2 linked regions of the Caenorhabditis elegans genome follow. The protein of the gene in region 2 purifies or fractionates together with the protein of the main gene of each other region. This does not show direct contact. Each region holds a gene or a part of one and is shown on either strand. Other genes may lie near its edges. The genes, in order: vdac-1 and fld-1.

The links.
Region 1: the proteins of fld-1 (region 2) and vdac-1 fractionate together in Caenorhabditis elegans (co-fractionation; one large-scale study listed by BioGRID). This does not show direct contact.

Annotation. Positions count from the first base shown.
Region 1 is NC_003282.8:7,505,921-7,509,780, forward strand, and holds vdac-1 (putative voltage-dependent anion-selective channel), read right to left. Parts: upstream 1,972-3,860; 5' UTR 1,969-1,971; coding exon 1,905-1,968; intron 1,832-1,904; coding exon 1,691-1,831; intron 1,524-1,690; coding exon 1,354-1,523; intron 1,197-1,353; coding exon 939-1,196; intron 893-938; coding exon 674-892; 3' UTR 501-673; downstream 1-500. Other genes in the region: Putative sodium-dependent excitatory amino acid transporter glt-6, read left to right, coding at 1-45, 90-368; R05G6.5 (Uroporphyrinogen-III synthase), read left to right, coding at 2,663-2,806, 2,854-3,041, 3,219-3,298, 3,350-3,465, 3,517-3,555; plc-4 (Phosphoinositide phospholipase C), read right to left, coding at 3,758-3,860. UniProt on the Caenorhabditis elegans protein: Forms a channel through the cell membrane that allows diffusion of small hydrophilic molecules. Plays a role in maintaining mitochondrial morphology.
Region 2 is NC_003279.8:14,112,439-14,119,324, reverse strand, and holds fld-1 (TLC domain-containing protein fld-1), read right to left. Parts: upstream 5,132-6,886; 5' UTR 5,119-5,131; coding exon 5,056-5,118; intron 4,841-5,055; coding exon 4,613-4,840; intron 4,159-4,612; coding exon 4,003-4,158; intron 2,561-4,002; coding exon 2,435-2,560; intron 2,387-2,434; coding exon 2,298-2,386; intron 2,246-2,297; coding exon 2,137-2,245; intron 2,043-2,136; coding exon 1,922-2,042; intron 1,619-1,921; coding exon 1,524-1,618; intron 1,199-1,523; coding exon 1,133-1,198; 3' UTR 675-1,132; downstream 1-674. Other genes in the region: mys-2 (Histone acetyltransferase), read right to left, coding at 122-288, 412-567; ndua-2 (NADH dehydrogenase [ubiquinone] 1 alpha subcomplex subunit 2), read right to left, coding at 5,322-5,360, 5,406-5,472, 5,517-5,689; dnj-29 (J domain-containing protein), read left to right, coding at 6,234-6,357, 6,418-6,533, 6,594-6,749. UniProt on the Caenorhabditis elegans protein: Regulates the composition and fluidity of the plasma membrane. Inhibits the incorporation of membrane-fluidizing phospholipids containing omega-3 long-chain polyunsaturated fatty acids (LCPUFA) and thereby promotes membrane rigidity.

The sequences.
Region 1 (3,860 bases), on a different chromosome or scaffold from region 2:
CTAGGGGATGCGTTTGCTGCTTCAATGGTTCAGCATTTATTGCAGGTTTGATAGAAAACTCGAACTTGGAGACAATTGTATATTTTAAGAAAAAGCTGGATCAAGCAGACGCTCGTCACGATTATAAGACTGAACTGAAAGGAGAAATTGAACTATTGAAGTCAGCTGCCACCAGTAGAAGACCATCATTCACAATGTCAGAAGCTTCTAAGGAGCTCTTCTTGACACACGCGAACACAGCTGGAAACTCAAGAATTGGATCACGAATTGGCTCTCGTCGTCCTTCATCCACCAACTTGCATCTTTCCTGGCGTAATAATAACATTGAACCACCATACACACCTCTGCCCAACGATGAAAACGTGTAGTTCCATGATCAATATTTACATTTTTTGTCCATGTCACTTTTCCATTCCAAAACAGAAAACGGTTATTCTCTCCTCTTTCCGCGAGAACCCATGGATTGTTTTGTACATATCATTTTTACTATTTTAAGCCACTGATGAAACTCAATAATTTATGTTTGTAAAATTTAGCAGAAAAGTAAATAGCGCATGACATTTCTTTTTTTTCGAAGTTTAGAGAACATAAATCGACATTGAAAAATCAACGGTTGAGGACTAAAAGAATTTTAAGAACGCTATTGATGGGAGAATGGAAGTGATCGGAAGATCTAGTTGGATGGATCGAATTCGAGTCCAAGTCCGAACTTGTGAGCATCATTGGCAGCAAGGTTGAATTGAGTGGAAAGTGTCAGCTTAAGAGCTGGAGACAAGGAGTGTGTGGCAGCAACGGCAACTTGGGAAGAGCTGTTGACCTTGGCGCGGACAGTAAGGTCACGGCTTGGAGCATACTTGGTGGCGAGAGCGTAGTCAGCTCCGTTTCCACCAACCTGAAAATTCACTTTAGTTTTGGTTCTAGGATTTTAAAAAGTTTACCTTCCATCCGAGTTGAGTTCCAACCTCGACGTTGGAGGCAACCTTGTGGTAAAGGGAAGCTCCGAAGTCGGTTGAGTTAATAACGAAAGAGTGGAGGGTGTATTGTGGAGTGGAGTGTCCGAAAGCCAAAGAAGTGGCTGCCAACTTATTCGATGAAGAATCGAAGGTGGCGGCAGCTCCGATGAGCCATCCGTCACGGGAGAAGACTCCGGCAGCGTTGATAACTGGAGCAGAGGTGACTCCAACATCAGCGGTAACCTGTAAATGGCTAATTTGTTTCATTTCACAAAGATGGATTTTTGAAATCTCTATTTCTACATTCAGAAAATCGAACCCTGAAACAATCATGCTTCCAGTCAAGCTTGAGACGAGCTTCGCCAATCTTATCACCCAAAATATGTACAAGACTACTCACTCTAGCAGTTGGGAGAGCCCAGTCGAGCTTCACTTTTCCGCTTCTCTTTCCGGCGTGTGGGGCATAAAGAGAATCGAGAGTGACCTTGAGTCCACGTCCGAATTGCTCATTAACTTCGATAACAGTTCCGAGCTGGTTCTCGGTGTTCCATTTCTCGGTCAAAGTGATTCCTGAAAACGAAACAACATGATTGATATCTCTCACACAATATGTTGTATTTTTGTTGAGCGGTCGCTAGACGTCACGTGGTGTTTTAGAGTACATACAATTGCATCACCTGCGTCACGAGGTTGTCCCCATCTAGCGGGTAGACAATAAGATGTTCAGACGAGCTTACCGTATTGTGGGATCTTGTACTTGACATCGAGATTTCCTCCAAGCTTTCCGGATCCGATATTGTGAGAAGCGGCTGATTTGAACTCAACCTCCTTGTTGTCTCCAGCTCTAGTGGTGGAGTCGATCTTGAGGAATCCAAAGTCTGGAAAAAAATTAATCAGGCGAATAAATGACCTAACACTATTCCTCTCTACAAAGATAAAATTGAAACTTACTGTATCCTTTGTTGAAGAGGTCCTTGGCGGACTTTCCAAGATCAGCGAAGGTTGGTGGGGCCATTTTCTAAACACAAAATATTTTTTGAAACATGCATTCTAGAGTTACACGAGAGAAGGAAAATAGGAAATTTTCGAAAAATGAAGGCTTTGAAAATGTTTGCATTGAGCAGTGCATACGAGAAAAACGGAAAGAAAGAGATAAACCAACTCAATGGCAGCAGTAGGAAGTCGATAAACAATGCGCCAGAAAACACAACATCGCCAAAAAATATATTCAGGGTTTCAGTTAAATGATTTACAATTATCTTATCGGGAAATTCAGAAGCAAACATTTGTAACATAAAACTCCGACGGTATCGAAAACATTGAATGCGATAGAGAAAGGACAGATCACGCCACAACAGCAAATTGAGAGTTCAAAGGCAAGCACATTGGCGCGGCGACCGCCCGTCTCGAGACATAGGACGAAAATGAGAGGCACAGAGACTGGTTACTGCAGCGCGACCGCTCCGCTTCCAAAAGTACTGGATTATTTTGGCAGTTTTTCAAAATTGAATGATGCACTGAGAAGAAAAGATTTGATGCAATGAAAGAAATATTGACTAACGAAACAAAATGAAATTAGCAAGAAATCTCAAATTTAGCGTTAAACCAGGAAATGGTACCGGAAATTGAGCACAAATCCAAATAGTTTCCGCATCACCTGGTTCAGCGAATTCAGTTCACTTCTGTCACTTGCATCTAACCTATTCGAAATGTACCGCTCGGAAGTCTCTAAGCCACAACTGGAAAATCCAAACCTAGTCGATAGAATAATTGTAATTATTCTGCCGAACTATTTCTATGAATATGAATCCGTACTGAAGCACATAACAAAAGAAAACTTCGGGATTATAGAGGTAAGTTGTATATATGAAAATTAAAGAAGAAGAAACTGATTATTTAGAAAACTGTGAAGCATTTTAAAACTGAAGAAGTCATGGAGTGGAAAAGTGCTGATCTTGAATCCCAAGATATCTGGAACTTATCAGACAGGCTAATAGACGGACCATGCATGTTACTATTGTGTCAACGAGCGAATGCTTTTATTGAGATGAAAGAAGTGGCCAAATATCACAATGTGATCGCTAAGAGGTGAGCAAAGACCAACAAACATCCGAAAATACTGAAAAACAATGGAAGAAAAACATTGCGCACAGTTGAAAATAACCGTTACCGTAGTCTCGTTTCGGTACGAAACCTTCACACTTTTGGAGGTTTTTCAAAAAATCTATCCGAAGAGTTTTAAAACTTCACAAGCGTTTAATTCAGAATGAGTTCAAGTGATGGAATATATTATTCAAAAACGACAATTGCCGCCTATCACGATATAATTTTCTTTTTCCCCAAGTGTAAGATTCCATAAAGTTAGAATTTTGACTCTCCCATAAAAATATATTCAGACATTGACGAAAGAGCAATGCTGAAACATGCCAAGGATTATCTCTCAGTAGAAGTATGGCCGAAACTGAGCCAGGGACTGGCTCGCGTAGCAGTTGAGAGACCGGATAATCCAATTGTTTGTTTTCGAATACACCATTTAGTAACATGATTTTTTTGACTCTTTCAGAAATGGCTCGCAGATTATCTACACCAACTACGCCAATAAGTTTATGTTTCTAAAAAATAATATAGTGTAAATACCCATAAACCAATAAAACAATAAATTTTTTAAAAATATGCATTAAAAATTAACTACAAAACTATGCGAAAGAAAGGGCAGTAGAACATATATTACATGTAATCAGATAACACACAGGTAGTGATAAAAACGGCTTTGGTCTCAAAAATATGTTTAAAAAGCAGGAGAATTAGTACTCTTCCTCCATTGCAATTCGTACAAAAAGAGATGCAGATGGGTCCAGAGTATGTTGATATCCGGTATTTAGTTGAATTTGCGAGAAACCTGTACGA
Region 2 (6,886 bases):
GTGAGGCTCACAAACTACAAACTACAACATTTCTCAGCCTCAACCAAAATACGTTTTTGCTCGAAATTTCGCGATTTTCATAGATTTTTGCCCATTTTTCTGCAATTTTCTCCACACGAACTTGTCCAGCGTAATCCATTCATCATTCCTCCGATCCAACTCCTCATAATGCACATAATACATGAGCTCTTTCGCTCCTTGCTCGTGATTCTCAATGGATTTATAGTTATTCGTGCGGACTTCTTGCGGCGGTTTTCGAAAATCAATGTGTATAATTACGGCGACCACCTGGAAATTTGATTTTTAATGGAAAAAAAAGAGATTTTTCTCGAAAATTTTCAGGAAAAATCAACAATAATTTCTGGTTTTTAATCGATTTTTTCACAAAAAAAAAAAAAGCGATTTCCGAACCTTTTTCACAGTATTAATAATGAATTTCTCGACCATATATCGTTTGTTAATTATTGGCATTATTTGTTGTTGCGGGGGTTCACTGTCATTTCCGCCGGGAGCAGCTGCCTCATTTGTTGAGTCGTGTGCTCGTTTCCTCGGCTCTCGTTTGCTCATTTTGTCTGGAAATTTTTGCTGAAATCGGCTGAAAATCGGGTCGAAAAATTCGATATAAAACACCGTAAATTACAGTTAAAAATTTAAAAATTTAAATTTTCAAAAATCAAAAATCGAGTATTTTTAATATAAATTAGAGTCAATTTCGTGTGAAAAAAAAAATTTAAAAAAATAAATACTGTAAGCAGAGAAAAGCGTCGTGGAACTTCGTGATATCATCAAAATGACAGTTTGCATCTTTGGTGCGCGGCCAAGATAGACATGGAATGAGTGATTTGGTAAAAATTTGGGGCTAAAAAATGGGGGGAAAAATCAATAAATAACAAGTATTACGGTAGATACAGAAAAAAAAATGGCAAAAAAAGCAGGAAAAAGTACTGAAAACGTCGATTTTTGGTGGAAAATCTGTTGGGTGAGGCTATAGACTACAAACTACAAAATTTGGCGAGCCTCACCCAATTTTTATCAAATTTTCGCGATTTTTCGCTTAAAAATCACCAAAAAACCGAAGAATTTCAATTTTTAACAGATAAATAGGTACAATTGGGGGAGCGGCGGGGTGAGTTCAAACAGTTTGTGTCGCGTCTTCTGTTGTTCCATGAATCGTTTGCACTCCGATTGTGTGATGGTCCTGCAACAAAACAAATAAATTGACTTAAATTGTAGTTTGTAGTCATTATGCTCGATTTGCGAGAAATCTAAACGGGAAATGAGTGAAAAATTCGAGAAAATCACGTGAAAATGACCTAGAAATCGATGTTTTTGTAGTTTGTAGTCTTTGAGCCTCAACCATCTTTGAGTGAGGCTAAGAGACTACAAACTACAAATTCAGCTCAGCCTCAACCAATTGGTTTTCGCTTGAAATTTTCGCGATTTTCATCGAATTTTTCTCGAATTTTCACTAAAATTTCGCAAAACTGATGAATTTTGGGGTGAGAAAATCCAAAATTTCGAACCTCATCCTCAACTTGTGTCCTAAGCGGACCACTTTCCACGTCACCAACTTGTGTTTCTGCGGTAGCTGCGGGGGTTCTTCGTGTACGTCGGGAGCCTGAAAATATCGAAAATTGTTTAAAAAAAAAGGAAAAAAAAAAGGAAAATTGGAGTTTTCTAAAGCATTTTTTCTCCAAAACAATGGTTGAGGCTCGAAGACTACAAACTACACAAAGTCCTCTGAGCCTCAACCATCGTGGTTGAGGCTATACTGGTTCTGTAGTTTGTAGTCTACAGCCTCAACCAACTTTTTTCTCGCTTTTTCCTTCGAAAAAATCGTTTTTTCTTCAAAAGTTCGGCGTTTCGACTAAAATTCGGCTGAAAATTCCGAATTTTTCAGTTAAAAACTTAAAAATCTCACCCAAAAGCCCATCAGCTGCCAAAAGCCGGTAAGTGAGCACTGTATTTGTGGAGGCGAGCGAGGCGATGACTAGACCGTTAATAATTGATACATACCACTCGAGATCCGGAATTGAGACCACCTGGAACATGGAAATTGTGCAAATTTTGCCGTGTTTTTAGTGAAAAAATCATCGAAAACTCGATTTTTCCACTGAAAAATGCACAAAATCTCACCACAAAATAGACTAAATACGCAGAAACGCAGAGACGGAACGCGAAAAGTGTCACCATATTGAGCAGAGCGATTATACGGAACGATGGGCTCTTCTTGTCGACTCCGTACCTGGAAAAATAGGTGATTTGGCTGAAAATCACGGAAAAATCGCTGAAATTACAAGTTCAACAAGCTCCTCGAGTGCAGGAAAATCGAGTTGAGCTCCATGAGCAATCCGAACACAACGACGCCGAGGAATCGGTTGAAAAACTGCAAAAAAATTGGGTTTTTTGGGGGATTTCAGCAGAAAACCCTCACCATTGTGACGGCGAACGCGGAAAGAACGACAACATGATGGAAAAGAAGCTCGATAATTCTGGCGGATTGCTCATTGACCAGAAGATCGACGAGATCGTGGAAAAGGTATCCCGCAGACATTAGAACCTGAAAATTTTGAATTCAGTTGGGCTTGGACTACAAACTACAAGCGAGAAGCTTGAAAAAATGGAAAAATTTCGAAATTTGTAGAAAAAATCGAAAAAAAAACGTGAAAATTTTTTGGTTGAGTGAGGCTATAGACTACAAACTACAAAAAATTGAGAGCCTCAACCAACGTTTTTAATGCTTTTTTGGTAGAGAATCGAGATTTTTTGAATTTTTTAACAATTTTTTCTTGTAAAAATAGGCAGGAAATGTGAAAAATACACTATTTTCAGCACAAAACTGCATTATTTGTGGGGAAAATTGGATTTTTTGGTTGAGTGAGGCTATAGACTACAAACTACAAGTATCTCAGCCTCAACCAACGTTTTTAATGCTTTTTTGGTAGAGAATCGAGATTTTTTGAATTTTTTAACAATTTTTTCTTGTAAAAATAGGCAGGAAATGTGAAAAATACACTATTTTCAGCACAAAACTGCATTATTTGTGGGGAAAATTGGATTTTTTGGTTGAGTGAGGCTATAGACTACAAACTACAAGTATCTCAGCCTCAACCAACGTTTTTAATGCCTTTTTATCAAAAAATCGTTATTTTTTTCACAAAAAATGGACAGAACTCACAAATTGGTTGAGAAAAGTTGAAAAAGGGACACTTTTTGGCATTAAATTGCATCATTTGTGGGGAAAATTGTATTTTTTCGTTGAGTGAGGCTAAGACTACAAACTACAAAAAATTGAGAGCCTCAACCAACGTTTTCAATGCTTTTTTGGTAGAAAATCGAGATTTTTTGAATTTTTAAATCATTTTTTCTTAAAAAATAGGCAGGAAATGTGAAAAATACACTATTTTCAGCACAAAACTGCATTATTTGTGAAGAAAATTTGATTTTTTCGTCGAGTGAGGCTATAGACTACAAACTATAAAAACTTGAGAGCCTCAACAAATTTTTTTTCACTAATTCACTCGGAACTTTCTTGAAAATTCGAAATTTTTGGCAATTTCTCACAAAAAAATCGGCGAAAATTGCAGAAAAACGAACAAAATTCGATGAAAATCGCAACATTTTGAGCAAAAACGTTCAACTTTTGTATTTTGTAGTCTCTTCGTGACTCAATGATGGTTGAAGCGATGGGACTACAAACTACAAATTCGGTTCAGCCTCAACCAACGTTTTCCGTGCTTTTTTGTTACAAAATCGACATTTTTTGATTTTTTTTCCTCAAAATATGGACAGAACTCACAAATTGGTTGAGAAAAGTTGAAAAATTGCCAATTTTTAGCACTAAATTGCATTATTTGTGGGGAAAATTGATTGATTTCATTGAGTGAGGCTATAGACTACAAACTACAAGTTTGTGTAGCCTCAACCAATTTTTTTGGTTTTTTTTATTCGAAATTCGAGTTTTTTAGTCATTTTTTCCGAATTTTCTCGCTAAAATCTAACCAAATTGATTGCAACGTCACATCGATAATTAACGAGGTCCTGAACGAGCTGTTTATAGTATAAAAGTGCGTAGGCGGCCCATAATCCTGATATAACCGAGTGGAATAGTGAGACACATTCGTTGGAGATTCGCCATTTCTTATTCGGTGGGATAGCCTGGAAAATGTGGAGTTTTTAGGTAAAAATTCGGAAAAATTTATATTTTCTGGCTGATTTGCTGATTTGGTTGAGGCTCAGACTACAAACTACAAGTTTGTGTAGCCTCAACCAAGTTTTGAGCACTTTTCAGGAGTTTTGGGAAAGAATTTCAACGTTTTTGTAAAGTTTTTATTGAAACTTGTAGTAGAAACTCTAGAAATAAGCGATTTTGATAGAAATTTCAACAATTTTCGGCGTTTTGAAGCAAAAGCTGATTGGTTGAGGCTAAGACTAAAAACTACAAATTTGTGTAGCCTCAACCAACTTTTTTTTTGATGAAAAACTGCTTAAAATGCTGTAAAATCGATATTTTTCAACAAAAAATGCTCAAATTTCGAAAAAAAAAACTGCTTTTTTAGCTCAAACTTCCTAGTTTTTGGATTTTTTTTGCAGTAAATTTCTGAATTCTCACCGACAGATCTCTGCTGTCGGGCTCGGGCTCCTGTTCGACCTGCTCGCCGGCTTCTGCCTCATTTTCAGGCGGATTTTCAGTATTTTCAGCTTCTTGACCGCCTCTCCGTCTCCTCCGAATGCGGTTTCGGATGTCGAAAAAGTTAAAGTTCGGCCACGTCCATTTGCCAAATAAGTACCAACGAACGATGAATTGCAGGGCTCGGAAGAAGGCAAATGAGACGATTACCTGGAGAAAATGGATTTTTGGGCCTAAATTCGCAGAAAATCGGGGGTTTTTGGCATTTTTTGAGTGAAAACTCACAAAAATAATCGAAGAAATCGTTGTTGATTTCATTGGAAAATTAGAAATAAATAATAATTAATTTTTCACGAAAAATTATTTAAAAAATTAATTTTTTTTTGAGTTTTATTTGAAATTATTTGAAATTTCGAATTTCTTACCCATAAAAACATTGTTGGCACTGGGCCAAGAAGATCCGTCAACAGCTCCGCCAGCTGCCGCATTTTCCAGAACTGTCTGAAAAAAAACTGATAAAAATTGGAAATATTACGGAAAAATAGGTAAAACAGTAGGTTTTTGGGTGAAAATACCCGGAAAATTCAAAAAAATTCGCTTAAAAAAGCTATAAAAACGATTTATTCAATGAATTTCTACAGGAAAAATTAAAAAATTAGAATTTTTTTTCGACTCTAAACTCTTCGCCAGGTTATTTCTGGGACGCCAATTGAGTAATAGTAGATTTGACCTGAAAATATCGATTTTCGGCATTAAATTCCACCAAAAATCCTACATTTTCTCTCGACAAATCCTCCAAAGTGGCGACTCGCTCAACTCCGTGCTCGTATCTGGCGAAAACTCTGCAAAAAACCGCAATTTCACCCAAAAATCGATAATTTCCCACCTTGGCACGATGCCAGACGCCTCACGAATCAGAATTGGGAACTGTGGATTGGCTTTTTTGATTCCAACATAGTCGTTTTCGATGAACGCGCGGACTCCCGCCGATGCTGGACTTTTCTGGCAGACGTGGATGCGAATCTCGCGAAGAGCGGTGCCGGCAAGACGGACAGACATCTGAAAATCGATATTTTAAGCTTTAAAATCAAAAAAAAACTTTAAAAAATGCAGAAAAATCCAATAAAACCAACAAAAACCGATTATTTTTTTCGAAATTTATTATAAAAATAAATAACCCGTGATCCCGCCCACTTTGGCAAGCGCGGCGCGCGGTATTTTGCAACTCCTACGCACAGTTTTGCTGTTTTCATGTTTTTTGAGCAAAGTCTTTGAAAATTGCTGATATTTTAGGAAATTTGCCTAAATTTTGCTAAATCTATCAAATTTTAGTGCTAAAACAAGTTTTTTCTCAATTTTTTGAGTTAAAAATCACGAAAAACCCATTAAAATCATCAAAAACCAATGACTCCGCCCCTTTTTGCAAGTGGCGCACGCAATTTTGCAACACCGCCGCACAGTTTTGCGGAAGACACTGCAAATCGAAGTGTCACGTCATCGCACATTTTTTCAGTTTTTCAACGTTATTTTCGATATTTTCAAACGAAAAACCACTTGATAAACTCAAAAAATCACTATTTTTACAGTAATTAATCGCTAAAAAATGGGCCGCGCGTCGTTTGAGTACGACGAAGTCGGCAACACATTTTACTATGTGCTCGTGGCATTCTACGCGATTATTCTGTTCCCGGCGACCTACCTATGCCTTCCAGGAGCCTCGAAACCAGGTAAAAATCGATTTTTTGGCTTAAAATTCATAATTTTTTCGTATTTTTTCGTATTTTTAGAACCAGAACACGTGATCAACGAACACGAGTGCCAATGCGACGGTTGTGACAAGAAAAGACGACAAAAAGCGGCGAATAAGCCGTGGCGACGGACTAAAAAGATTATTACCATCGTTGTAAGGCTTTAAAACTGAAAAATCCGGAAAAAATCCACTAAAAATCCCAAAAAATTGCAGGTTCTCGTTGTAGCGTGGGCAATTTTCGCGATAATTGTGAAAAAAACGACTGAAATCGAGCAAACTCACAAGGACTATGACCCGTATCAGATTTTGGGTCTGGATCAGGGCGCCGACGAGAAGGCCATCAAAAAGGCCTGGAGAGATATGTCAAAGGTGCTGGAAATTGGAATTTCGGCGATTTTTTACTGAGAAACCCCTATTTTCGACATTTTTCAGCTTGAAAATCGAAGAAAATCGAACTTTTTACTGTTTTTTACCTCGAAAAATGCAGTTTCCAAGTATTTTAGATG